Mus musculus: one gene and its partners. The main gene of each other region encodes a partner of the protein of the gene in region 6 in a complex. Links are inferred from orthologs where the notes say so. Each region holds a gene or a part of one and is shown on either strand. Other genes may lie near its edges. The genes, in order: Vti1b, Stx5a, Bet1l, Stx18, Stx7 and Bnip1.

What was found.
Region 1: Bnip1 (region 6) and Vti1b share a complex: the UniProt entries of both Homo sapiens proteins name them as parts of the SNARE complex. The link is inferred for Mus musculus from reciprocal best matches to the Homo sapiens genes BNIP1 and VTI1B.
Region 2: Bnip1 (region 6) and Stx5a share a complex: the UniProt entries of both Homo sapiens proteins name them as parts of the SNARE complex. The link is inferred for Mus musculus from reciprocal best matches to the Homo sapiens genes BNIP1 and STX5.
Region 3: Bnip1 (region 6) and Bet1l share a complex: the UniProt entries of both Homo sapiens proteins name them as parts of the SNARE complex. The link is inferred for Mus musculus from reciprocal best matches to the Homo sapiens genes BNIP1 and BET1L.
Region 4: Bnip1 (region 6) and Stx18 share a complex: the UniProt entries of both Homo sapiens proteins name them as parts of the SNARE complex. The link is inferred for Mus musculus from reciprocal best matches to the Homo sapiens genes BNIP1 and STX18.
Region 5: Bnip1 (region 6) and Stx7 share a complex: the UniProt entries of both Homo sapiens proteins name them as parts of the SNARE complex. The link is inferred for Mus musculus from reciprocal best matches to the Homo sapiens genes BNIP1 and STX7.

What each region holds. Positions count from the first base shown.
Region 1 is NC_000078.6:79,169,659-79,173,673, forward strand, and holds the start of Vti1b (vesicle transport through interaction with t-SNAREs homolog 1B), read right to left. Parts: upstream 2,801-4,015; 5' UTR 2,677-2,800; coding exon 2,562-2,676; intron 2,043-2,561; exon of another isoform or gene 1,960-2,042; intron 1-1,959. UniProt on the Homo sapiens protein: V-SNARE that mediates vesicle transport pathways through interactions with t-SNAREs on the target membrane. These interactions are proposed to mediate aspects of the specificity of vesicle trafficking and to promote fusion of the lipid bilayers.
Region 2 is NC_000085.6:8,753,973-8,756,142, reverse strand, and holds the end of Stx5a (syntaxin-5), read right to left. Parts: intron 1,355-2,170; exon of another isoform or gene 1,235-1,354; coding exon 1,075-1,234; 3' UTR 501-1,074; downstream 1-500. UniProt on the Homo sapiens protein: Mediates endoplasmic reticulum to Golgi transport.
Region 3 is NC_000073.6:140,853,584-140,857,730, forward strand, and holds the start of Bet1l (BET1-like protein), read right to left. Parts: upstream 2,801-4,147; 5' UTR 2,657-2,800; coding exon 2,638-2,656; intron 1,583-2,637; coding exon 1,491-1,582; intron 1,239-1,490; coding exon 1,182-1,238; intron 1,041-1,181; coding exon 873-1,040; 3' UTR 1-872. Other genes in the region: Ric8a (synembryn-A), read left to right, coding at 3,888-3,971. UniProt on the Homo sapiens protein: Vesicle SNARE required for targeting and fusion of retrograde transport vesicles with the Golgi complex. Required for the integrity of the Golgi complex.
Region 4 is NC_000071.6:38,126,230-38,129,729, forward strand, and holds part of Stx18 (syntaxin-18), read left to right. Parts: intron 1-702; coding exon 703-761; intron 762-1,814; coding exon 1,815-1,884; intron 1,885-3,500. UniProt on the Homo sapiens protein: Syntaxin that may be involved in targeting and fusion of Golgi-derived retrograde transport vesicles with the ER.
Region 5 is NC_000076.6:24,148,099-24,152,088, reverse strand, and holds the start of Stx7 (syntaxin-7), read right to left. Parts: upstream 2,801-3,990; 5' UTR 2,681-2,800; exon of another isoform or gene 2,363-2,680; intron 1-2,362. UniProt on the Homo sapiens protein: May be involved in protein trafficking from the plasma membrane to the early endosome (EE) as well as in homotypic fusion of endocytic organelles. Mediates the endocytic trafficking from early endosomes to late endosomes and lysosomes.
Region 6 is NC_000083.6:26,779,684-26,783,878, forward strand, and holds the start of Bnip1 (vesicle transport protein SEC20), read left to right. Parts: upstream 1-1,395; 5' UTR 1,396-1,409; coding exon 1,410-1,493; intron 1,494-3,583; exon of another isoform or gene 3,584-3,649; intron 3,650-3,761; coding exon 3,762-3,854; intron 3,855-4,195. UniProt on the Homo sapiens protein: As part of a SNARE complex may be involved in endoplasmic reticulum membranes fusion and be required for the maintenance of endoplasmic reticulum organization. Also plays a role in apoptosis.

The DNA of each region.
Region 1 (4,015 bases), on a different chromosome or scaffold from region 6:
CATGCAGTAAAACAAGAAAGCATAAACTGTCCTCTGAGCTCTACATGTATACACACAACAAACAAAACTGAGGTCTCAGGTATCGATACTGGACTTCAAGCAAATTAAAATGGAAAACTGTCAATAATTTTATCACAAGGACAAATGTCTCCAAGTACCAGAAAACCAAAACCTGAAACAATAACTATTAGCACTTAACATATTAATCAGATGACAAAATTCCATCCCTTCTGAGGCTTTAGAGAAACCTCTTCAGATGATGCAAAGCCAAGATAAGAAATTACAGCTGTAGGTGATGAATGCTATAATTAGGCTAATACTTACCATACATGGTAAAACTGTTACTGCCACAAAACCCTCCTAAATTAGGATACATGGTGGCAGCTACCCTTCAAGGGCCATGAGAATACAGACTATACTTTGGGGAAATAAGTATCTCTTTCACTCTGGTTGTTTTAACCAATGTATATACATCAATATGAAGAGTAATGAAAATGTGAAAAAAAAAAAAAAGAGAAATTATTCTGCTTCAATACCCAGGTACTTTCTTCTAAGACCTCATAGACCTTCTAAGACCTTTAACAACCAAAAATTGATTTTTACAATAATTTAACAAATACAATATGTAGTTTATTTGAGAAAGGGTCTCACTGTGTACTCTAGGCTGGCCTTGAACTCATGGAGATTCCCTGCCTCTGCCTCCTAAGTGCTACTAAAGGTATGCACCACCACCCCAAACATATCTAGTAAATATTTGTCAGATACCTAGGATGTGCTGTGTACTGTTCCAGGGAGTTTAGGACACATGCTAAACGATCAAACAAACAAACAACAAACAAAAATACTATTTCATTTCCAGTTCACTGGCTCTCAAACTTAAGCCAGCACTAGAAATCCCTCGAGTGTAGTTAAGGCAGACTGCTTGCCGTAAGCTTTGGATTCTGTGAGTCAGAATGGGGCCTGAGCATGTGCAGTTCTCAAGTTCCCAGATGGTGTTGATGGGCTGATTCACAGACTACAATTCCAAACTACTTTCCTAGTAACACAAAAACAATACACTGTATCATAAATATGCAAAGTGATGAGTACATTAGAAAATAGTGTTCTGAGGCTGGGCAATGGCAATACAAGCCTTTAATCCCAGCACTTGGGAGGCAGAGGCAGGTGGTTTGAGGCCAGCCTAGTCTACAGAGAGAGTTCCAGGACAGCCAAGACTACACAGAGAAACCCTGTCTTGAAAAACAAACACAAACCCAAAAAAACAAAAACAAGCAAGCAAAAAGAGCATCCTAAGAATAACTGTGTAGAGAGCTAATATTTCTAAATAAAACAACAAACACATATTAATAATAGCTGGTAGCTCTTACTGTTGCCAGACGGTGTTTTTAATAGCTTTACATATCTCATTTACTCCCCACAAAAACTCCATGAAGTCAGATGCTACGTTTTACTTTATAGTGGAAACTAGTTTGGTTAAAATAACTTGCAAAGTCACATAGCTAATAAAAGGTGTATGTAACTTAGATAATCTGACTCTAGAACTCTTTTCTTTCCTTCCTTCCTTTTTTTTTTTTTTTTTTTTTAATTTTTGATAGAGTCTCAAGATAGAAGAATCTAGCTGGTCTGGAACTCTGTGTTGCTGTGTAAAACCAGGCTGGCCTTGAACTCACTGAGATTCTGTTTCTACCTCCCAAGTGCTGGGATTAAAAGTGTTCACCACTGGCAATCTCTTGAATGGCAGAAAAATATTTTGTCATACACTGTTATCTTTAATGCACAGGTAGACATTCTCATCTCCAGCTCAAACGAGTATGCGCCTCTTATTTAAGTTCATTCATTCAACTGATCACGTGAGAAGACACGGCCCCTTCTCAATCTTCCTCCTCACATCCACCAGTCTCATAAATCTCGGCACCACCTGTTGGATTTAATGCTCACTCTCCAGATTCGCATGCTTACCCAGTCAACTGTCATAGAAGCTCCTAACACAGTCTCTTATAGCCATTCTCACATCCTCTATCCAGCTATCCGCCGCCTTGCTTCTAAAATGAAATCCACATTACTCCGCTGCTTATGTTCCTTAAGGATTTACCCTAGTACGTCAAAAAAGTCTAAATGTGAGACTTCCGGTTCCTCTCCAATGTAGCTGTCTTCCTCCCCTCACCTCCCGCCACTGTCTCACATATAAGCTAATCTCCATGGTTACAACTATTTTTAAAATTTCATTGCCTACCAAAATGCCAAACTCCTACATGCCCAACTCCAAATTAAGGGTTTTTTTTGTTTTTTGTTTTTGTTTTTTGTTTTGTCACAGGAGCACAGATTGAAGAATGCCCTATGCTACTGGGAGAGGAAGATAACTAAAGGCTCGCTAGGAGAGGACATCCTAATGTCTATCCCTTTGCACGCCCCCAGTCACCACAAGAGGCAGCACACCCTGGGCGTCCGGGGCCCGACAGCAGCAGGGGGCGTGCCCAAAGGGGAAGCGGGGAGCCCCGGGTCGGTGTTTGGGATCCTGCACCCTGCGGAGTCCTCCCGGCCTGGTCCCGCCCCCGCCTCACCTGTCCCCGCGGTCCCCAGCAGCCGCTCCGGCACCCCTTGTAAGTCTTCAAGGAGGCCGCGGAAGATCTCGTGCAGCTTCTCGAAATGCTCGGAGGAGGCGGCGGAGGCGGCCATGGCGCAGGTTGCGCGTGAGCTGCGGCCACCGGGCGCTGGGCCCACTCCCACCTCAGCAATCAGCTGCCCAGCCCCGAAGCCATCACTGCAGCCGCACCTCGGCCTCCCGGAATCAGGCGCTTCCGGGGTCCTCGGAGCCGGACGCCCTCCCCCTGCTTGTCACTGCACGGGCGCCGGGCGCCAAAGCCTGACAAGAAGCCGGGGCGGGGACGACACTCAGCTACTACAGGGGCGCGGTCTCGCGCCAAGACGAGCCGGTGGCTCCGACCTGGAGACAAACAGTGGGCACAGAGGAGGTACCAAAGGGAAGGGCCCGAGGGAGCCCGCGGGACTGGCGCCTCGGCCGCCTCATCCGGGCCCGCCGGTCCTGCAGTGCATACTGGGAATTGTAGTTAAGTGAGGGAGGACGGCCGTGCAGGGAGGGCCCGGAGTGCCAGCGGTGTTGCGCAGACTGGCTAGCACACGCCCCTCGCTGTCATCGCAGTTCCTTCTGCCACCTGACTTCATATCCCGTCTAAATGTTCAGTCTCAGCCCTAGATAGATGAGCAGAGGCCTGCCTACCCTCGGATGGTATAACTCTAATAAAAGTGGAGAGATTAAGTGGCCAGGGTCACATGTTTTCAGAACCGGAAAATGGGCAGTGTGATCCCAGAATACCCACAGCTTTTAGCGGCTGAACCAGTCCAGACCATTAGGCTGCCCCGGGTTCTCATTCACAACATGTTAAGAATAGACATTTTGATAAACCAAAGTTATATATTGATCAAAGTAATTTTGTCTCTGCCCTTGGGTAATGTATGATTTGGTGTGGAAGACAGACCCATCTTATCTGCCCTTATGTGAAATATATCAACAATTACGAAGTCCTTTCTGTCCTTCCATAGATATAAACCCCTGTGTATACTGTTGGCAGGGTTTCCAACAAAGGGCCCACTCACAAAAGTTTTCGTGGTGATTCAATATTTATACATGGAAATATATATATATATATATATATATATATATATATATATATATATATATATATATATATATAAAAGGGTGTTACCGAGGGGTACAACACTTATCTAGCATAAGCAAATCCTATAGTCCATCTTCTAAGGTGTGTGTGGGAGTGGGTTCCTGGTGATTTTTGTCTTTGAAGCCCTGGGTTTTACAAGCTTGAATCCACCAACCGTTAAATTCAATGAAAAAATAAAAACAAAACGCAGTGTGCAGGGATGACAAAGTCTGATGTTGTTAGCAGTGGTGCGAAGTCTTAATATTTTTCTTATAAAATTAAAAGGTAGTTCAAGAGTGTTGTTGTTCAATTTTAATCCTAGCACTTGGAAGACAGAG
Region 2 (2,170 bases), on a different chromosome or scaffold from region 6:
ACAGGGTTTCTGTGAAACTTGCTTTGTAGACCAAGTTGGCCACAAACTCAAGAAATTCACCTGCTTCCAACTCCCAAGTGTTGACTGAAACTTTAATGTCAAACCCAAGAGCTCTAGGAAACTTTTCTGGTGTGGCTAGGACTATTGCAGCCTTGGATCCAGATGCTGCTGTGGGAGGGGGAAGCAGATGGGGTGCTGGTAGGCATGGAGCATGACTTGATTTGAAGATACAAAACAGGCTCAAACTTATGGGTACTGTCTTGGAAGTTGCCGCCCAATTATGAACCCACTTAGTCCAAAGGAAAACTCTTATGAAGTGCTGCTGTACTTGGCTACTCGCTTCTAGGGGGGAGTTGTGTGTACAGAGCTCCGGAGCTACCCTGCCTATCAGTAGGGGCCCATCAGAGTCACTGACTTAACCCTTTTGGTTCTGGTATTGGGCAGTGGTTAGCTTTTTGCTGAAGTCCCCCCCCCCCCCCCAGAAATGACATCAACACTAGTGAGGCTGACAGTCTTGCTGTAATTGGGAGGAAATAGGCTGCAGCATGTTTGGCATATTGAGAGTCACCAGTAGCCAAAGTCAGGTTTGTGCAGGCAACTGTAGGGCTCAGAGCCCCCTCACCTCACATGGTGAGGAGAAGGCGGCAGTCAAGTTCTAGCTGACCCAGATGATGAAGTTGGTCCCTTGGATACTTCTTGAGGATTCTTGCCTCTCAAGAAGGAAGGGCGTTTTCTCCTCTTGCTGCCAGTTACGTTTGGGGGAGGCTGGTTATAGGCTTATAAAAATCTCAAGGTGGAGACAACCTCCCCCACTGGCCCCTAGCTGGCTTCTGTTCCCAGCCTCTTCACAGCAGAGTCCAAATCCAGAACCAGTGTGTTTCATGGGCCTGAGGATAGGACAGAGTGGCCAGAGACAAGGGTGGGGAATCAGGGACACTGGCCATTCTTAGCAGTTCCAAGGAAATGGCCTTTCTCCCAACCACCTTGCACAGGCTCAGTGGCAATAGTAGCCACCTGTCCTCCCAGGAGGATCCCAAGCCCTCCATGGAGTGGCTCAGAATGAGGGAGGAGGGTTCAGGCAAGGAAGACCACAAAGATGATGAAGAAGACAATGAGGATGAGGAAGATTTTGACCATGAGCCACCGATTGGAGGTAACTGACTGGAAGTACTTGAGGATCTCTGAATGGGCTGCCTCCACATCCAGCTGGGCTCCAAGCACATTCTCGTCGATCCTGGAGACAGCCAGGAGATAAACAGAAGGACACTGGGTTAAAAAGAAGATTGAAGACATCCATTTATTGATATGGAAAGGTGATTACAATATGTGGAAGTAAAAAGTGTTTCATACTGTGTGAACTTTTTTTGGTTTGTTTGTTTGTTTTTCAAGACAGGGTTTCTCTCTGTAGCCCTGGCTGTCCTGGAACTCACTCTGTAGACCAGGCTGGCCTCGAACTCAGAAATCCGCCTGCCTCTGCCTCCCAAGTGCTGAGATTAAAGGCGTGCACCACCACTGTCCAGCCTGTGTGAACTCTTGTATGTGTGTGTGTATAGACACACACACACACACACATTTTTTGAGGGTAGTAGATCATGCTCGCCTCTAGCTTTAAAACGTTCTTCCAGTTATTAGCTTATGATTGAATTATTTAACCAGTCTTCCACATCTGAAAATTGAGGTAACTGATATAAACCCTACCTCCTTTCATGAAGTCTCAATTTTCAGTGAATTAAATGAACTTCCAATCTAGGAGCACCCCAAATGCTGCTTTACTCATTAACATTTCCTTTTTTTTTTTTTTTTTTTGTAATGAACATGTATTGCATTGTGCTAATTAGTCAGAAAATCCTGGTTAGGAAAATCTTAATATAGACAGGAACTCAAAGGATAATACAACTCTTATAACTAACCAGAGAACATTATCTTGGAGGAACCACTCCTCAGAGGAAGGACAATTTTGAAAACTTACTAAAGCAAACAAAACTTCCAGCCAATCTACGTATGCAATCCTAAAACCCAAATATAGTGGCTGAGTAGACAGCTCAGTAGGAAAGTGTTTGCTTGGCAACCAAGAGGACCTGAATTTGAATTCCAGCACACACACACAGCAAGCTGGCTACAGTCTTAACTGTGCCCATAACCAGAGCACAGCAGGTAAGTATAGAAAGTA
Region 3 (4,147 bases), on a different chromosome or scaffold from region 6:
TCACACCGAGGGAGACTGGCTGTACAGGGTAGGGCAAGGTTCAGTACAAGGTCAAAAGCTCCCACTACACAAATGCTTTCCTAGGTGGCCTCCGGCCCCATAAGGATCCCCAGCAGAGAGAGCACCCCAGCACGGCCTGGCTCTGAAAAGCCACCTGGTACAGCTCTCTGTCTGTCTGTCTGGGGATGGAGACATCTTTGACACTGATAAGATTCTCAATCCCAAGGACACACACATCTGTGCCTGTGCTCCTGGACACCTGGCCTTGTGGCCCAGAAGGATCTTAGTCCAGTGCCTCTGGACTGCAGTCCACTCCTCTATCCACGGCTTTGCCTCTTGCCAGTGACTGGTGGGTACAGCCTGCCCAGGTCCACTCCTCATCAGCAGCCTCAGCCAATGACCATCATCTGGAGAGGGCTCACGGCCATATTCCCTTCTGGTGTCAGTTTCAGACTCTTCAAGGACACAGACACGGGTTTAAACCAGGCATAAACAGGTTAGGGCAATCCAGAAGGCCCTTAAGATCCTGGCTTCTGAGGAGTGTGGCCGATGGCCACAGTGGGCCCATTTGGGACTCACAGATGCTTTGCATAGACCTGGCTTGATCTCACACAACATGGCTCTGGCTCTGCCAGTGTCTTTAGCACCAGGGAGTGGCATTGGCTTTTGCCTTTTTCTTCTTCCTTCATACACAGGACAAGCCAAGATGAGCTCATTATGACAGAGGCAGCTGCAGTCGTCCTGACTTAGGAAGATGAATGACCCATGATGATAATTTCAAAGGGATTTTTTTTTTTTTTTTTGTAGTCAGGTCCTTAGGAAACCAGGATGCCAGGTGTACAAGAGCCTGGCTGCCCTTGGCTCCCACTGGCTCACGTCCTTGTCCTCGACAAGAGGTAGGAGAGGATGAAGAAGGCCACGATTAAGACCACAGCCATACCACACAGAAGCTTCCGGTTGTCTCGCCCAGACCGTGCCATCGTGGAGAAGCGCTTCACACTCCCCGTGAGTAGGCCAGTCACACTTGTGAAATCTGAGTCCTGTGGGAGAGACCCAACAGGGTCACATAGAGTTGGGACCCTTGACTACCCAACCACACTAGCAGCGAAGACCCAGCAGAGCAGACGGCAGGTGGGCGGAGCTGACTATGATTTGTACGTACCCGTACCGCGGGCACTTACCATGCCGTCTAAGTAACGGTTCTGGTCCTCTGTGTCCCTGTCGATGTCCAAAGCCAGCTGGTTGGGATACAGAAGGCACCGTCAAGCAAAGCCACAGAGAGTAGTGCCCACCTTCCCTTCAGACCAGCTACATTTTACCCACGACTCTGAAAAGTACCTATTACCAGAGAAAGCTAAAAAAAAGGCCAAGTTATTACCTGAAGCACTTCTCCAGTCAGCAATGCCCACAGACAGCACACGGCCTCCTTCCTCCCCTCTCAGCCCCACCCACCAAAGTATCTCACGGAAGGGAAGAGGGCCACCACTGACCGATTTAAGCCTGGTCACCTTGGAGGCCAGGCTGTCAGCCATCCGCTTGTTCTCTCTGTCCAGAATGTCCTCCACAGCACCAGAGCTCTGAGCTGTGAGAGAAAGAGGCGGAAGGATAGCATTCCCTCAGACATGTGGTCCCTGATTCCTCACTCCAGTGGAGACATCTAAGCGCATTCCCCCATATACTTCTGCTAACTTAGCACGTCCCACCCTATGCTCCAACAGGCTGACCACCTACACATCAGACATGTAGCATGGGTCGTGTGAGAACCTGTGTGCATGCCCAGGCAAGGACGGGCTGGGGAGCCTGAAGATCCAATCAATCTACATACACGACCCTGCTGTATACTGTTCCTGAACCGAAGTGAATATTGCCTTAGCTGAAATTGTCATCTGAGGGTGTGGGGCCGGTCTCAAAGGGAAACAGTACTTTCTGATAGGGACCATAGGGAAAACAGAACAGCCGGTGGCACAGCAGGTGACAGGAAGGCTGTGTGGGGAGGACTTGGAAATCAGATCCAAGGTAAGTGTAAGAAAGTCCTTCTACTGTAGAAACTACCTCGCCCTATGTCTGCAACCCACACAGAATCTCTGGAATGCCCAGAGCACTGTGCTCGTGGAAACCTAACTCCGATGGACAGGGACAGGTAGTTGAGAATCACCCCCCTAAGTGTGACTAGCACCGATCTGAAGCATAAAAACCACCCACCCAGCCTCGATGTGACCCACCTAAGGGGAAGGCCAGCAGCACCAGCAAACAAGTGCGACCAGACTCTGAAAGACAGACGGCTGTGTCCTACCGACCACTGCATAGTCATCGTTGTGGGCGAAGCATCAGTATCACAACTGTCACACTGAACACAGGCACGGGGGCGGGGAATGTGTGTGAACCGAGGCACTCAGGCCCCTCATTAGTAAAACCCTGCTTGGACCCTCTGCTTCCAGCTCTTGGCATCAACCACACACAAAACTGATGGCATGCCGGCTTGGGTTCCAAGGCAGCGCCAGGCGAAATCCGGCCCTGTTTTTCCAGGGATACGTAAGCGCCACCCCACGCAGGTCCTTCCACCGAGAAACGAGCGATGTCTCCAGCTCCAGACTTAGACTTCCCCTCCTACCTCTACTGCCTTTCAAGTGCTCTCACCTCGAGTCCAATCTGCCATCGCGCCCTCCAGGGTCCCACTCAGGGAATTCGCAGCACAGCAACGGACGTGGCACCAGTACCCGGGTCTTCCGGTTCCGCCTCCGGGCTAATAACTTCCGGGAGAAGGTTCTGAAGCGGAAGAAACAGACCTGGAGTGCTTCTCGGGAATGTAAATAAGGGAAGGGCGGGCCACCAGCATTCGGACCCACGGATTGGTCAGCAATATTAGTCCTGCGCTGTGGGTGTTACTCGGAGCAGGTGTTCAGACCCAAATTTGGAGCAGAGGCTAGGAACCAGCTCAGTAAATCAGTCGGATGCCTCTGGCGCTGCTAAATCCAACTGGATGGGGAGGACAGGCAGACCCGAAAGAGACTGGTGAAGGAGACGGCCGGGGCCTGCCACTGAGTAGGGGCAGAGCCGGTTAGCACGGCGGGTGACATCATCCACTGGAGCACTGTTTGTATGTGTCACTGTGGGGCACCGACTCAGCTAAGTGGCGTGCGGACCTGGCTCCCCGCTACACAGCGCTCCTACGCTTCTAACCTCAGACACGCCTCGGCTGGCCGCCCCTCCGTTGCTCCTCTCGCGGGAGTGGCTTTTCCACGGGTGTTCTTCACTTCCTTCTCTGCAATTTTCTTGAGAATAACCGTATTACTTTGGTGGCTATTCTTTTTAGATAGGTCTGCTAGTTTCTGCCTCTCGAGTGCTGGGATTTAAGAAGGCGTGCGTCACTATGCCCGGCTAACCACGTGCATTATTTTGACCATCCAAGTCGTTGTACTTCTCTTTCCCTATTCCCTATGGAAGATGAGCTCCAAGGCCTGGATCGCGAGAATCGTCTTCCCCAACTGATTAAGCGGCCAGGAGCCGGCGCTCCCTTTTTTATCACAGTACGGGGACAAGAGCGTAAAGAGGACGGTCCACGCGCGGGCCAAGCCACACCCCACTCCCCACCCTCCCATCCCACCCCACCCCCCGCCTGCCAGGAACTCGGGCTAGAGAGGAGGGCTCAAAAGGAGGACACTGCCTGGCTGGTTAGCTAGCATCGCCGCTCCAAGACTAGCCGCTCAGCGACCACAGCCGGGTTGCTCCACCTTAAGTCGGAGGCGCCTGTACACACCCTTGGGTTCGGCTGCTCTCCCAGCATCCCTCACGCGTGGACGCCGGGCTTCCGGACCTGGGCGGAGCCCCGGGGTTTGGCCGATTGCGTCTTCCCAGCCCAAGCCTTCCAGCACCCGGTGCCAGGGGCCATGGAGCCCCGGGCAGTTGCGGATGCCTTGGAGACCGGAGAGGAAGATGCGGTGACAGAAGCTCTGCGGTCGTTCAACCGGGAGGTGAGAGGCATCCGGCTGCCGAGGAAATTTCAGGAAGAGAGGAAGCAGGGGTGTGCGCGCAACTCGGCTGGGGTGTGCGTGCGAGTGGTGGCAGGGAGCACGGCGGTGGGTGGTGGGCTGGTCCCTCGGGTGGCTCTGTGGTGGCGTGTGGTGGGGCAGGTGTATGGGAGGCTAGG
Region 4 (3,500 bases), on a different chromosome or scaffold from region 6:
TAATATGTACCTGAGGCCTCTTCTGCTGGGCCAGGTAGCTCCAACAGGGAAGCAGTGCACTGTTGTCATAGGCAGTGGGGTACTGAGCCCAACACGAGGAGCCATGTATTACCTGAGTTCTTTTCAGAGCATTCTGCTCAGGATCTAGACTGTACTCCACAGAAGGAAAACTAGGACAAGCCAGTATGAAGCAGGTGTGGAGCTTACTCTAAAAGGGCAGTGGGGCTACCTCTAGGCAGTGGGCAGCCCTGGTGCTGTCACACAAGGCCCTGGGAGGTCAAAGGTCTGTCCCTGTCACAGGCCAAGGAGCCTGCCAGCCTCTGCCCCTCAGTCTTCCCCACACCAAGTTCTCTGTCTAAAATGCTGCACCTGGAGATAGGCGGCAGCCGTGGAATCAAAGCGGAGTGTGTCTGAAGCCGCAGAGGCAGCTTCCTCTGCTCAGCAGTTAGTCTGAGTGTCAGCTGCTCCTGAGTTCAGACCCAGGAGGACTCTGAAGTCAGCGTAGCACAGTTGGTCTTTGGACTGGCAAGCATTTTCCTCCCAGAGTACAGTATTTTTCAGACAATCTGCTGGCAATACCCTGTGCTGGCCGACGGGACTGGGCAGGGATCCTTAGAAGGTGGGTGGAAGGTCAAAGGTTCCTTGTTGCCCCTTTCTTGAGTCCCATCTGATATCATTCTGAGTGTGTGTGCTTCTTTGCAGTTTGAACAAGAAAATCAGCGACTCATTGGTGAAATGAACAGCTTGTTTGACGAAGTGAGGTATGTATGTAGCTAGTAGCTTGATGACAGTTTTCCCAGATACTGGGGGCTCTTTCCAATTGCTTTGGCATCCAGGCACCCACGTGTAACAGGGCAGGGCCGGCTGAGCCTGTGGGAGGAGCCTGGCTGCTACAGTAAGCTTGTGGGTGCTGCAGCATGCAGAAAGCACACACTAAAGACAGTCTGTCCCAAACGCAGAACCATAGCACTAGCACGGGGCTGCTTGGGTGGAGTGGCTGTAAATGCAGTGGGGGCCTTGTGAAGGAGTCCTGCTTCCAGGTGACCAGGCTCACACCCACTTGCCAGTGAACTGCAAGCGCCCGTGTTCCACAGGAGCGTGGCAGTGCTGTGGAAGCAACAGCTGAGTCTTTGCAGGACCCCATTCCATTCAGAGTGTGGCCCTTCCCGGCCTGGGACTTACTCAGGGTAGGGGTACTCCCTGGGACAGCCCCAGGGTTATTTTGTCCCAGAGGTGGCTCTCTCGGGCCTCTTCTGCCCATCCACTTGCTGTTCTTCTCCATGCCCTGGTACTGCTCCTTCCATGTCTCCTGTCTGCCCTTCCCATATTTTCTAGAGGGAATCCCTCGCCACTCACACCTTTCTCCTGCCCCTGACCCAGCTGTGCTGGAGTAGGGAAGGTCAGTCTGAGCCAGCTTCCACTCTCAGCCCCTCAGCCCCAGCCTGCCCCATGGTGGAAAGGCTCAGCCAGTGTTTCAGGTTGGGCAAGCACATGATTGCTAAACCAGACGTGGTGATCACAGACTGTACTGCAGCATTGTCTTGCCATAGGGAGCTGGCTTGAGAGAGAAATAATACTTTTTTTTAAAGATGGGCTTTCAAAGTAACCATGCCTTTGCTTCTCCAGCATGTATCACAAGGTAACTAGGCTATGCAGAGGACCTACCATGCCTGCCCAGCTCCTCCTCCTGTCTGGCATGGCTGCCCTTCCTCTTTTGCTATCACTTTAATGTTTCCTTCAGAAAAGTGTACCATTCATCTTAGATTACCAGGAGCTAACAGCTAACATGTCACCTGTCCATTCTTTTTTTGAAGGCAAATCGAAGGGAAAGTCGTTGAAATTTCCAGACTCCAAGAGATATTCACCGAAAAGGTTTTGCAACAGGTAAAAGGATCCAGAGCCCAGCAGTTTTGAGTCTTGACTTAGGACTGACAGAGAGCTTGGAGCCCTCTTCCAGAAGCCTCTGAGTGATGCCGACTAGACAGCACCATGTTCTGTTAGCTAGTCACATCACTCAGAGCACCCTGACCTAGCTTCCATCAGCCCGCAGCAACCCTCTGGGGCACAGCTGAGGAGCAGAGTGGCCCCTGTGAGCTAGAGCATCCAGTGGTACTAGGAAGGTGCAATCCCTCCACACCATCCCCCACCCCCATCTGTAGAAAGGGATGAGACCACAGGGCTGCTGTTGTGTTCACAGGTGAGCACAGAAGCACTCTGCACGGTGCAGAATGGAGAGCTGCTTTTCAACCCACTGTGCTCCAGAAATTAGGGACAGCCTCTCAGCCAGCCCCTGCTGCTCCTGGAGCACAGCTGAGAGGGGGAAGATTGCTCCCCGGTGAGCTTAGGACTAAAACATACCTTCCTCTTCTCTCCGGGACGTTGGCTCACTCACAGCTGCCTGAACCTCACAGCAGAGTTGAGTCAGCATGGATGAGGTAGAAGCTAACAACATTTGGGAGTACACGGTCATAAGAATAAGATTCACAGGTATCTTTTTTAAAAGAAAAAAAAAAAGATTTATTTATTTTATTTATATGGGTACACTGTAGCTGACTTCAGAAACAACAGAAGAGGGCACCAGATCCCATTACAGATGGTTGTGAGCCACCATGTGGTTGCTGGGAATTGAACTCAGAACCTCTGGAAGAAAAGTCAGTGCTCTTAACTGCCAAGCCATTTCTCCAGCCCTCTTCATAAGTATCTTAAAGATCTACCCAAGCCACGTGTGTGAAGGCCATGAACCCTGGAGACAGACTTTGTGCAGACCCTTGGCCTAATGGCCATGTCAGCTGCATGACAGAGGAAGCCATCAAAGCAAGTGAGCTGGCACCGCAGCTCACTTTGGGGAGAGTCACTTTGTCTAAAGCATAAAGCTTTCAGGGTGACCAGGTTGCACTGTGGATACTCCACCCTGTGCACTGTGGCCAGTACTTCTCCTCAGCCCCATTATCTGAAGTACAGCTAGTGCTCCAGGCCTCTCTCTCAGAGCCAGCAAGTAGTACCACTGACCTATCTGGCCCATGGCAGGCCTTTCGGTGGGACTCTGACCAAGCCAGGTAGTGCCCTGCTGTAGTAACACCACATATGCCACCATGAATATGTTCTCTACATGGTAATCCAGTGACATACCCTGGCTAGCCATACAGCAAAGGGAATCACAGTCTTTTAGGCTCCAAGGTCTAGAGGCTGCACCCACACAGCCTGGGAATCGTCACCAGAGAGGTGGGCATCACCCAACACAAAGAGAGGGAAATTTATGGCTCAGAGATATCTACTAGCTTACAGAGGGTCACATACTGTCTGAGTGGCAGGACTAGGATAAGGCTCTTGTCAGGTTGTACAGCTCACACTATCTCCTATCTCTCCTGTGTCACTCACCAAGTGACAAGGACAAATATGAACTGCTGATACTGGCCTCTCCTCTAGCATTGTTTATTCTTTATAAGGTCTAGAAGCCAGCTTCATGATGTTACAGGCTTTGAAACACATTAGCCATACAA
Region 5 (3,990 bases), on a different chromosome or scaffold from region 6:
CACTTATGTTTATAGACAGTTATTGACAAATGGCTCTGAAGTCTGTTTTTACATGTGAGCTAATTAACTCTATGCTTATAAAATGTTTGTACTCTATAACCATCTGCATTGCCTAGCTTGAGCTGCAATACTCAAAGCATTTGTGTCCTAGTGTCTTTGCTCAAAATAATTACATCACTCCTCATGTGCACCTGCACTGCCTGCACACAACTATCAAAATGAACTAAGGTAGAAGAAGGCCACCTCGGCCACCTTTCAAGTGCTAAGAAACTGTATGTGGCCAGTGGCCAGCAGCTGGGACAGCTCACATATTCCCTTCATCCCCCACAGAAAGTACTACTGGGCAGGGTTCAACTCAACAGCTCAGTAATTATCTTTTTATGAAGATAAACACTAAGGTGAAAGAGGAGACGGGAGAGTCAAACAGTAACACCTATAGTGAGCGCTGTCTCAAGACTGTGTGGAAAGGGCAATTTAAAAATGAACAAAGGGGATTTTGATACAGAGTCTTGAATGTAAAACACTACCCTGTAGTTACTAATGGACATACTGTAGAATCTTGAAGACTTCCTCTGAGCAGACACTGGCTTAAAATTTAGCCTGCTCAAATCAAATGGTCAGTTTCACTTTCTTAATCATGAAGCCCAGCATAAAATATGAGTTTCCTCCTTTGTTCCCCAGGTTTTAATTTTTGTGTGTGTGTGTGTGTGTGTGTGTGTGTGTGTGTGTGTGTGTGGTGTGTATGATGTGTGTGTATGGTGTGTGAGTGTGTGTGGTATGTGTGTGCAGTGTATTGCGTGTGTGGTGTATATGTGTGTGTGGGGTGTGGTGTGTACGTGTGGAGTGTGTGTATGGTGTGTGTGTGTGCTGTGTGTATGTGTGTGTTTGTGTGTGTGTGTATGTGTGGTGTGTGGGGGAGTGTAAATCTTGGACTTAGTCTATTCTCTAAGTACTTGGCTACAAAGTAGATCCTGAATAAATGTTGTAAGTCTGAATGAACAAGTGTACCGATTTCCTATGAACACATGCCCAGCCTAAGAGTAAATATAAACATTTCTAAAATACTGTTTCAGGCTTATTGCTACCTGGGCTTTTCTCAGTGTCCCTTTCTATCTGTAGATGGCCCTTTCCATGATACACACCCAGCCCCTTTGAGGACTAGCTCTTTGTCTCAGTAAGGTGTTATCACACACTAAAGATGCCAGGTCTGAAATGAGAAGTCTCTATCAATGTAACTTCTACTTCAAGCGATGCATCATACTTAGAAGATGGGAGCATTCACACTCTTTGTTTTCAATTCCTAAAACAAACAGGAGAGGAATCATAGGAGACAATCAATCATGAGGGTGCTCAATCTTCCATATGAGTATTCGGTCCACAAGTGCATCTTTGCCCAGCTCCTTCATCAATCCAAACGCTACACTGTTTGGTTTCAGCTTAATTAACCAAGATTTTTTTTCCTCCACAGTTTCACACATTAATATTTCAAGTTACACTGAACCAGAGAAAAATCCACACAGACTTAACTGTGGGAGTTTTATCTAGCAGTACTAGTAGACATAGAGGTAATATTTCCCTGCAGTACTGGGGACTGAACCAGGGCCTTGTGCACACACCATTTAGTGGCATATAGCTCAACATAATTATTCATAATTTTCCACCAGCAGCGTATGGATGAACTTGGGATAATAATCAGAATTAGAAACGACTGTTAATCAGGAGCAGCATAAGAAGTGAGCTAGCTGAAGGAAAAGAACCCAGAGGTCAGTGAGTTAATACTGTGTTCTATTAACTTCCCCAGACACTGGGAAACTACAGCCTCGTTCTTAACTAGTCACAAGCCTGGGGGCCAACTTCGAAAGCAGCTTGCAAAGCCGAAGACCCATCGGCACCACAAGGCACAATTTAACAGTGTTATCAATCTCTGTTCACTGCGGCTCAGAGTACACCTAAAAGAAATGCCTACCTCCAACAGGACCAAACCAGTGTTTCACAGTTAATTCCTTTTATTTTCCTGATTGTGGAAAACTTGTAAATAATAATTCCTGACAAAATACGAGATCTGACGCAATCAAAAATTGATATATGCATATAAAATGCAAGCAAAATTTTAACAGCTATAAGGAAAAATTAGCATTTGACTGTAAAGCTTCCTTCCTCTTCCCACCCTCGTCCAAGCTTTTTTTTTTTTTTTGGTCTGAATTTAACCTAGAAAACACATATGCGAATTCTCGAAATACCTTGTTACCTTGTTATGTGTCTTGCATAAATCAATTGAAACGAGCACAAGGTAGGTCAAAGAAAGTTAGCTTGTGTGAGTAAGGCCAACAGCCAAGCAAAGGCCCTGGGCCGCGGAACGAACCTGTGGCCAGATGACCAGGGCCCATCGCGTTTCCCTTTCTGTTCTTCGGAGGAGAAGTTGACAGAGAATGGGAACACGGTCGTAGCCTGCCAGGATCTGGCGGTAGTATCCGGTCCCCAAGGCTCCATTGCCGCGCGCCCCGGTGCTCGCACGTCGCGTCCCGGAGTCCGGAGCGGGGCGTGGGAGCCCGAGAGGGAGGCGCCGGCCCTGCGCCCTGGGGAGCCCCGCTCTGCGCACCCCAAAGCAACCACTAGCGAGCTGCAGTTCTGAGGTGTCCCTCCCGCCCCCCTCTCCCCCGCCTCTGCAGTCTCCTCTTACCCTGACCTCGCCGGCTTCCTCGGCCACCTCCAGCCGCTGTCACCCGGGGGCCCACTGCCTGGCGCAGCCGGTCTCAGCTGATGGGCGGCGGCACAAGCACGCCCACTGCGCATGCTCGGGGCACAGCCCCAGGAAGGAGGAGGCGGGGCTTGCGTCTCTCCCATTGGCCAGTGACAGCTGAAGCTTGGAGGGACTGGCAAAATTGCTGGGGAGCCAAGCTCTGATGGGTGACAAAGTGATGTCTATGGGCAACAGAAGAGGAAGCAATACAATAGAGAAGAGCTGGGTTCTTTATTCGGAGGCGCCAGACTCCCTGGACTGAGGGAGCACTCTCAGCTTTTAAAGGTTCTGTTTCCTAACCCTCAGCTCTGTGGTAGACTTGACAACTCCATTTTTAAAATGTCACTGCAAAAATGTCAAGGCAATCCTAGCTAAAGCCCCGGAAGGATAAATGAAAGATAATCTCCTAATGCCCACTTGATAAAGATGTTTTCCTGGCTCATAGTTGGTATCGCATCCTTGAAATACAGGATGTGGTTTTCCCAGGCTTTAAGAGCACACACTGTTCCAACAATAACTCTTCAAGCATGTGACCTCTCGGATGAGAAACATCAGTTGTTCATGTGAAAGAAATACTTTGCCAAATTAATTAGAATAGATTGCCTTGGATTTGCCTATAATTAAGATGGTGTTATTTCTGGAAAGAGCATGAAAACACATGATACCAAAAGTTCGATAGACTTCAAGTGGAGGTAGGGGGAATCCATACTATTGTGAATCAGAACCACAGAGCAAACTGTATGTTGGTTGGTTTTACACCTGCAAGCATACGTAGATGACTTAGGTCAGACTCAAACACAGCGTCTTCTCAGTAGGATCCACCCAGTGGATCAAAGAACATGTACTCATTTAAAGTCATGTGATTCAGCTCGGGCCATGGTGAACTGTTGAGGTTTGCTGTTTTGTCCAGCACTGGAAATTGAACCAAGGTCCTTGGACATGAGAGGCCTTCACTCTGTCCTCTATCTCCAGTGGTTTTTGTTGTTGTTGTTGTTGTTTTTGAAACAAAGTCTACACAGGTTACCCAGATATTAACCTTGAACTCACTCTGTAATCCAGGTAGACCTTGAACTTGCAACCTGCCTCATCGTTCAGAGTACAGACCTGTATCATTGTCCCGGGTTGTTTGTGGTTTTGTTTTGAGGAATGAGGGATCAAACCCAAGGCCTCACATTTCAGGTAGTTGATCTACCCCTGAGTTCTACCTATCATCTCCACTGTGAACTTTTAGAAGTATTAGTCCATCATAG
Region 6 (4,195 bases):
GGGATCTCCCTGCCTCTACCCCTTGAGTGCTGGGATAAAGTCATATGCTACCACACCCAGATAAAAAGGATATAGGAAAGCTTGTGTGGAGCTAAAATGCATGTCTAGTAGCTGCGGTGTTAATCAGTGCCTGTAATTCCAGCAGTTCTAGGTCATCCTTGGCTACATAGGTAGCTGGGAACCAGCTTGGGCTCTGTGAGACCCTGCCTCAGAAAAGCAAAGAAAATACTTAGGGCCTTTCACCTGTCCCGTGTGTTCTGTCATCGTCCTCCACCCCCTCTTCCTTCCACTTCTATAGCCTAACAAATCAAGTGCAGCTGCTGGGCAGAAGCATTTCATAGAAAATGGCCGCACGTAGGGAAGTAACTCCCAGAGTGTTTCTTAACAGTACATGTATAGCAACTAGTGAGCACTGAGTTCAATGCTACATTATCAACACCTCATTCCATCCTCTAGGTGACCTAACTTAGGAGTGATGCTACTGAGGAAACTGATTACAAGCCTGGAATCCAGGCCTTTGATACTTGCAGCCAGCTACTGAGCACCTTTTAGGAAGTGGGTGGTACAGGGTGCTTTGGGACAGGTAGGCGTGGAGACTGGGGGCTGTGTGTGCAGTTTGAGAAAAACATTTTAAAAAGAGGGAACCCATATCCAAGACGACAGAGCCTGGAGAATCCCGGAGGGTGGGGGAAAAGTGTCCAGTGGTGTTGAGGGCTTAAGAAATAATAATTTTAAAAAACACTACCCTTCTTTGAGGTTTGCACTGACATTGTTTCTATCACACCACACAGTCAGAACTACTCCTATGAGATACTTGGAATCCAATTCTACACAAAGGGCAGGACCAGAGCCATAGAAATGTGTAAGGACAACAATGCAGGATCATGGTTGTACTAATGGAGGTGCCCCAGTGACCTGTATTTAAGTCTGCACCTTTACAAGTTTTGTGTCTTCCTCCATAATGCATACCTACTGTATACATTTTGCTTTAAATTTTAAAGAAAAAAAATGTAACTTTGGTGACATCCGAATTGATCCTTTTTTTTTTTCCATCCAAAAGGTCACTAGAATAGCGGGTTGTTGTTGTATCTCTAGTACTGGGAACAAACCTGAAGGCCATGTGGCATGCCAGCCTATCATCACCTGAGTTGTATTTTCCCCTCCCCCCCACCCCAACTCTAATGGTTCTTCATAATCACATTCCACTTTTCCGTTTAGTAGGAGCAGACCAGAGAAGCTGTGCGTGTTCTACGTGACAAGAAAAGTTTCAGGTCTGGACTCTTGACCTGGTTTGATCCACACGGGGTCTCCCGCAGCATCACATTTGAAGAAGTACGGAAAGGCGGGCAGGAGCCACGTGAACGCGTTCAAGCTTGGCTGCTGCCGCTCGCCGTAGCCGCATTTCCAACATGGCGGCTCCCCAGGATGTCCACGTCCGGATCTGTAACCAAGAGATTGTCAAATTCGACCTAGAGGTGAAGGCGCTTATCCAGGTACAAATTCTTAGGCTCCTGTCCGGCTCTCGATGGCCGCCTTGACATCTTCCAGAATATTCGCGCCTGGTCCGGTTCCAGGATGGCTCCTAAGGCACCATTCGGTCGGTTCCCCGAGATCACTGACCTTCAGGCTTTTCTTTTGTGAACTGTTGGTTTGCCCACCCCTGAGTTACCCTAACACGCCGCTCCCTTTCCTTGGACTGCAGCCGTGCTGGGCTAGCCCGCCCACCCGCATTCTCGGCTGTAGCCCCGCCCCACCCCTCGCCCTGCTCGCCTCCCACGCCCACTTCCCTAAGTTAGGGACCCTGAGGCACCCAAAGCCACCTGGCCCGACAGTCCCTGCCCGAAGCTAACTAAGTTAACCTGGGACGTGGTTGTAATTTTTTGAACAAAGAATTCAAATATTGTGCAAGATCCTGGGTCAGAAGGCAGGCAGTGCCAGTATTAGGACCTGGATGGGGAAAGCCAGCCTAGGAAAATCATTTTAGAGCTTCCCTACCCGGAAACAGACTGGAAAATGAGGCGCTTATCTGGAAGCAGGTCTTAAGTAGGAGACAGTAGTGCAGGAACACAAGCAAGAACAGGGAATGTAGAAATGGCTCCAGAGTTTGGCAAAAAGAACCCAACCGGCTCAGAATACAAGCTGTGACAGCAAATAAGGAAAGGGTAGGGGTGTGACTCCGCTGGTGAGGACTTTGCCCAGCACTGGGTTCGCCATCCCCAGTGCTGCATAAATGGGCTGTGCCTAGCTGTTGGGGTAAGCTTGGCTTTACTAGCCCCTATAAAAAGGAGCATGGAGAGTAGTGCTCTCTGGTAAGCCAGATGTACACTCTGCCACATTAGCAGTTTATCCTGTGCTGTGAGGAAGTGTTGATTTTGTGAGTAAGCTAGAGAACAGGTAAAGAAACGCCGCAAACTTTACTCCTGAGATGTGCAAACAAAAAAAATGGGCCAATTCTAGAAAAATAAACAAGATTTATACAAGTGAGATTACCAGAGGCTGGGGGTAAATTTAGCTCAGAGTAGAGTTAAAGTTTAGCCATGTGCAAGGCTCTAGTTTCAGTCCTCAGAATGCACATGTAAATACATATACATACATAACACAGAGTTGCTAGGGTAGTGGCTCTAGCACTTGGGAGGCATAAGCAGGACCATCATGCATTTGAGGCCAGCCTGTACTACATAGAGTCTTCAAAAAAACAAAACAAAAAAACCCTTATATCCAAAATTTGAAAAGTTGGGTTTTCATATTATATCATAATATAAAATTATGTAATAGCATCATAATACTTCATATTATCATAGTTTCCTGTTAGGTAGGCCTCTGGTGACATATGTGTTTTGGGTTCTTATGGTTACTAGTGAGTAAGCATAGCCCCATACATTGTATTCTTTCAGTGTTCCAGCTATTCTGCTAAGTGTTCTACACAGAGAAATACCATCTTGACGTAGGTAAGGTGAAGAAATGGAGGCACAGAGAACTGAAGTTTTCCAAGACTGCACTAATAAATTGCTATACGCAGGATTTGAATATATGTAGCTTAAGTCTAGAACCTGCTCTAAAATTTGGCTCTCATAATTCTGACTTTCTTTCCAGAAGCAAATTCTCAGTTCATCTTTAAACGTTTTTGACTTGCGACAGATGGTTTGTAAAAATCAGACTAAATTAACTTTGTTACAGGTCACTAGGGATTTAGTTGGAAGGATCTGAACTTACAGTATTTTTTAGATGTCTATTTCTGTTGAACATGGAAGCTGTTTAAGCCTTTCCTAGTGGCACTTTGTTAAACATCTAAGACGAGGTTGAGGTTTACCTATCTACACACACAATGCATATGGAGTCTATGTGCATGCAGGGGTGTGTATTCATGTCTGTGTGCATTTGTGCATGCGTGCACATGAGTCTCTCTCTCTCTCTCTCTCTCTCTCTCTCTCTCTCTCTGTGTGTGTGTGTGTGTGTGTGTGTGTGTGTGTGTTTTGCTGCTGTTGAAAGCCAGGGCTCCAAGTATGCTCTGCAAGTGCTGTACTACTGAACTGTGCATCCAGTCTGTTTATTCATATTAGGCTCTCGGTGTTAATCTTACAAGGAATGAGGAAGCTGAAAATGAGGAGTTTGCTCTTGTGTGGAGGAGAGCAGCACTGAGCAGGACAAGGTAGAGCTTGGGCCACCTTAGCTGTGTCTGAATCTGCTTTCTCACTGTGCCGATGAGGACACTTCATTTCATTGACGGGAGAAAGGTCCCTCATCTCTTCCTTGCCTTCCAGGATATTCGAGATTGTTCTGGACCCTTAAGTGAGCTTACTGAACTGAATACTAAGGTGAAAGAAAAGTTCCAACAGTTAAAACAGAGGATCCAGGTAAGTGAGGCTACAAAGCCTGTTCTGGAAGGGTGGGTAGCAGGGGTGCGTGCTCTGGCCAAGAAGAATTTTTGCCTGAGAGTTGACCAGGTCCTTCACATGCCACCTGGAGAGAGTAGGAAACATTGTGACTGTGAGGGTGACTGGACTAACAAAGTTTGGAACCTACACACTCATTCATTCCCTACTTGAGTCCATTGCCAGAGTTTCCTTGGTGTTTCCGGTGCTATTATTTTGCACAGTAGTAGCCTCCTCCCGATTTCTGGAGTTACCGCCCCCACCTCATGCTCATGACCTCACTTTCCCTGTGGTGCGAGTGTTGTCTCAAAACACAAATGAGA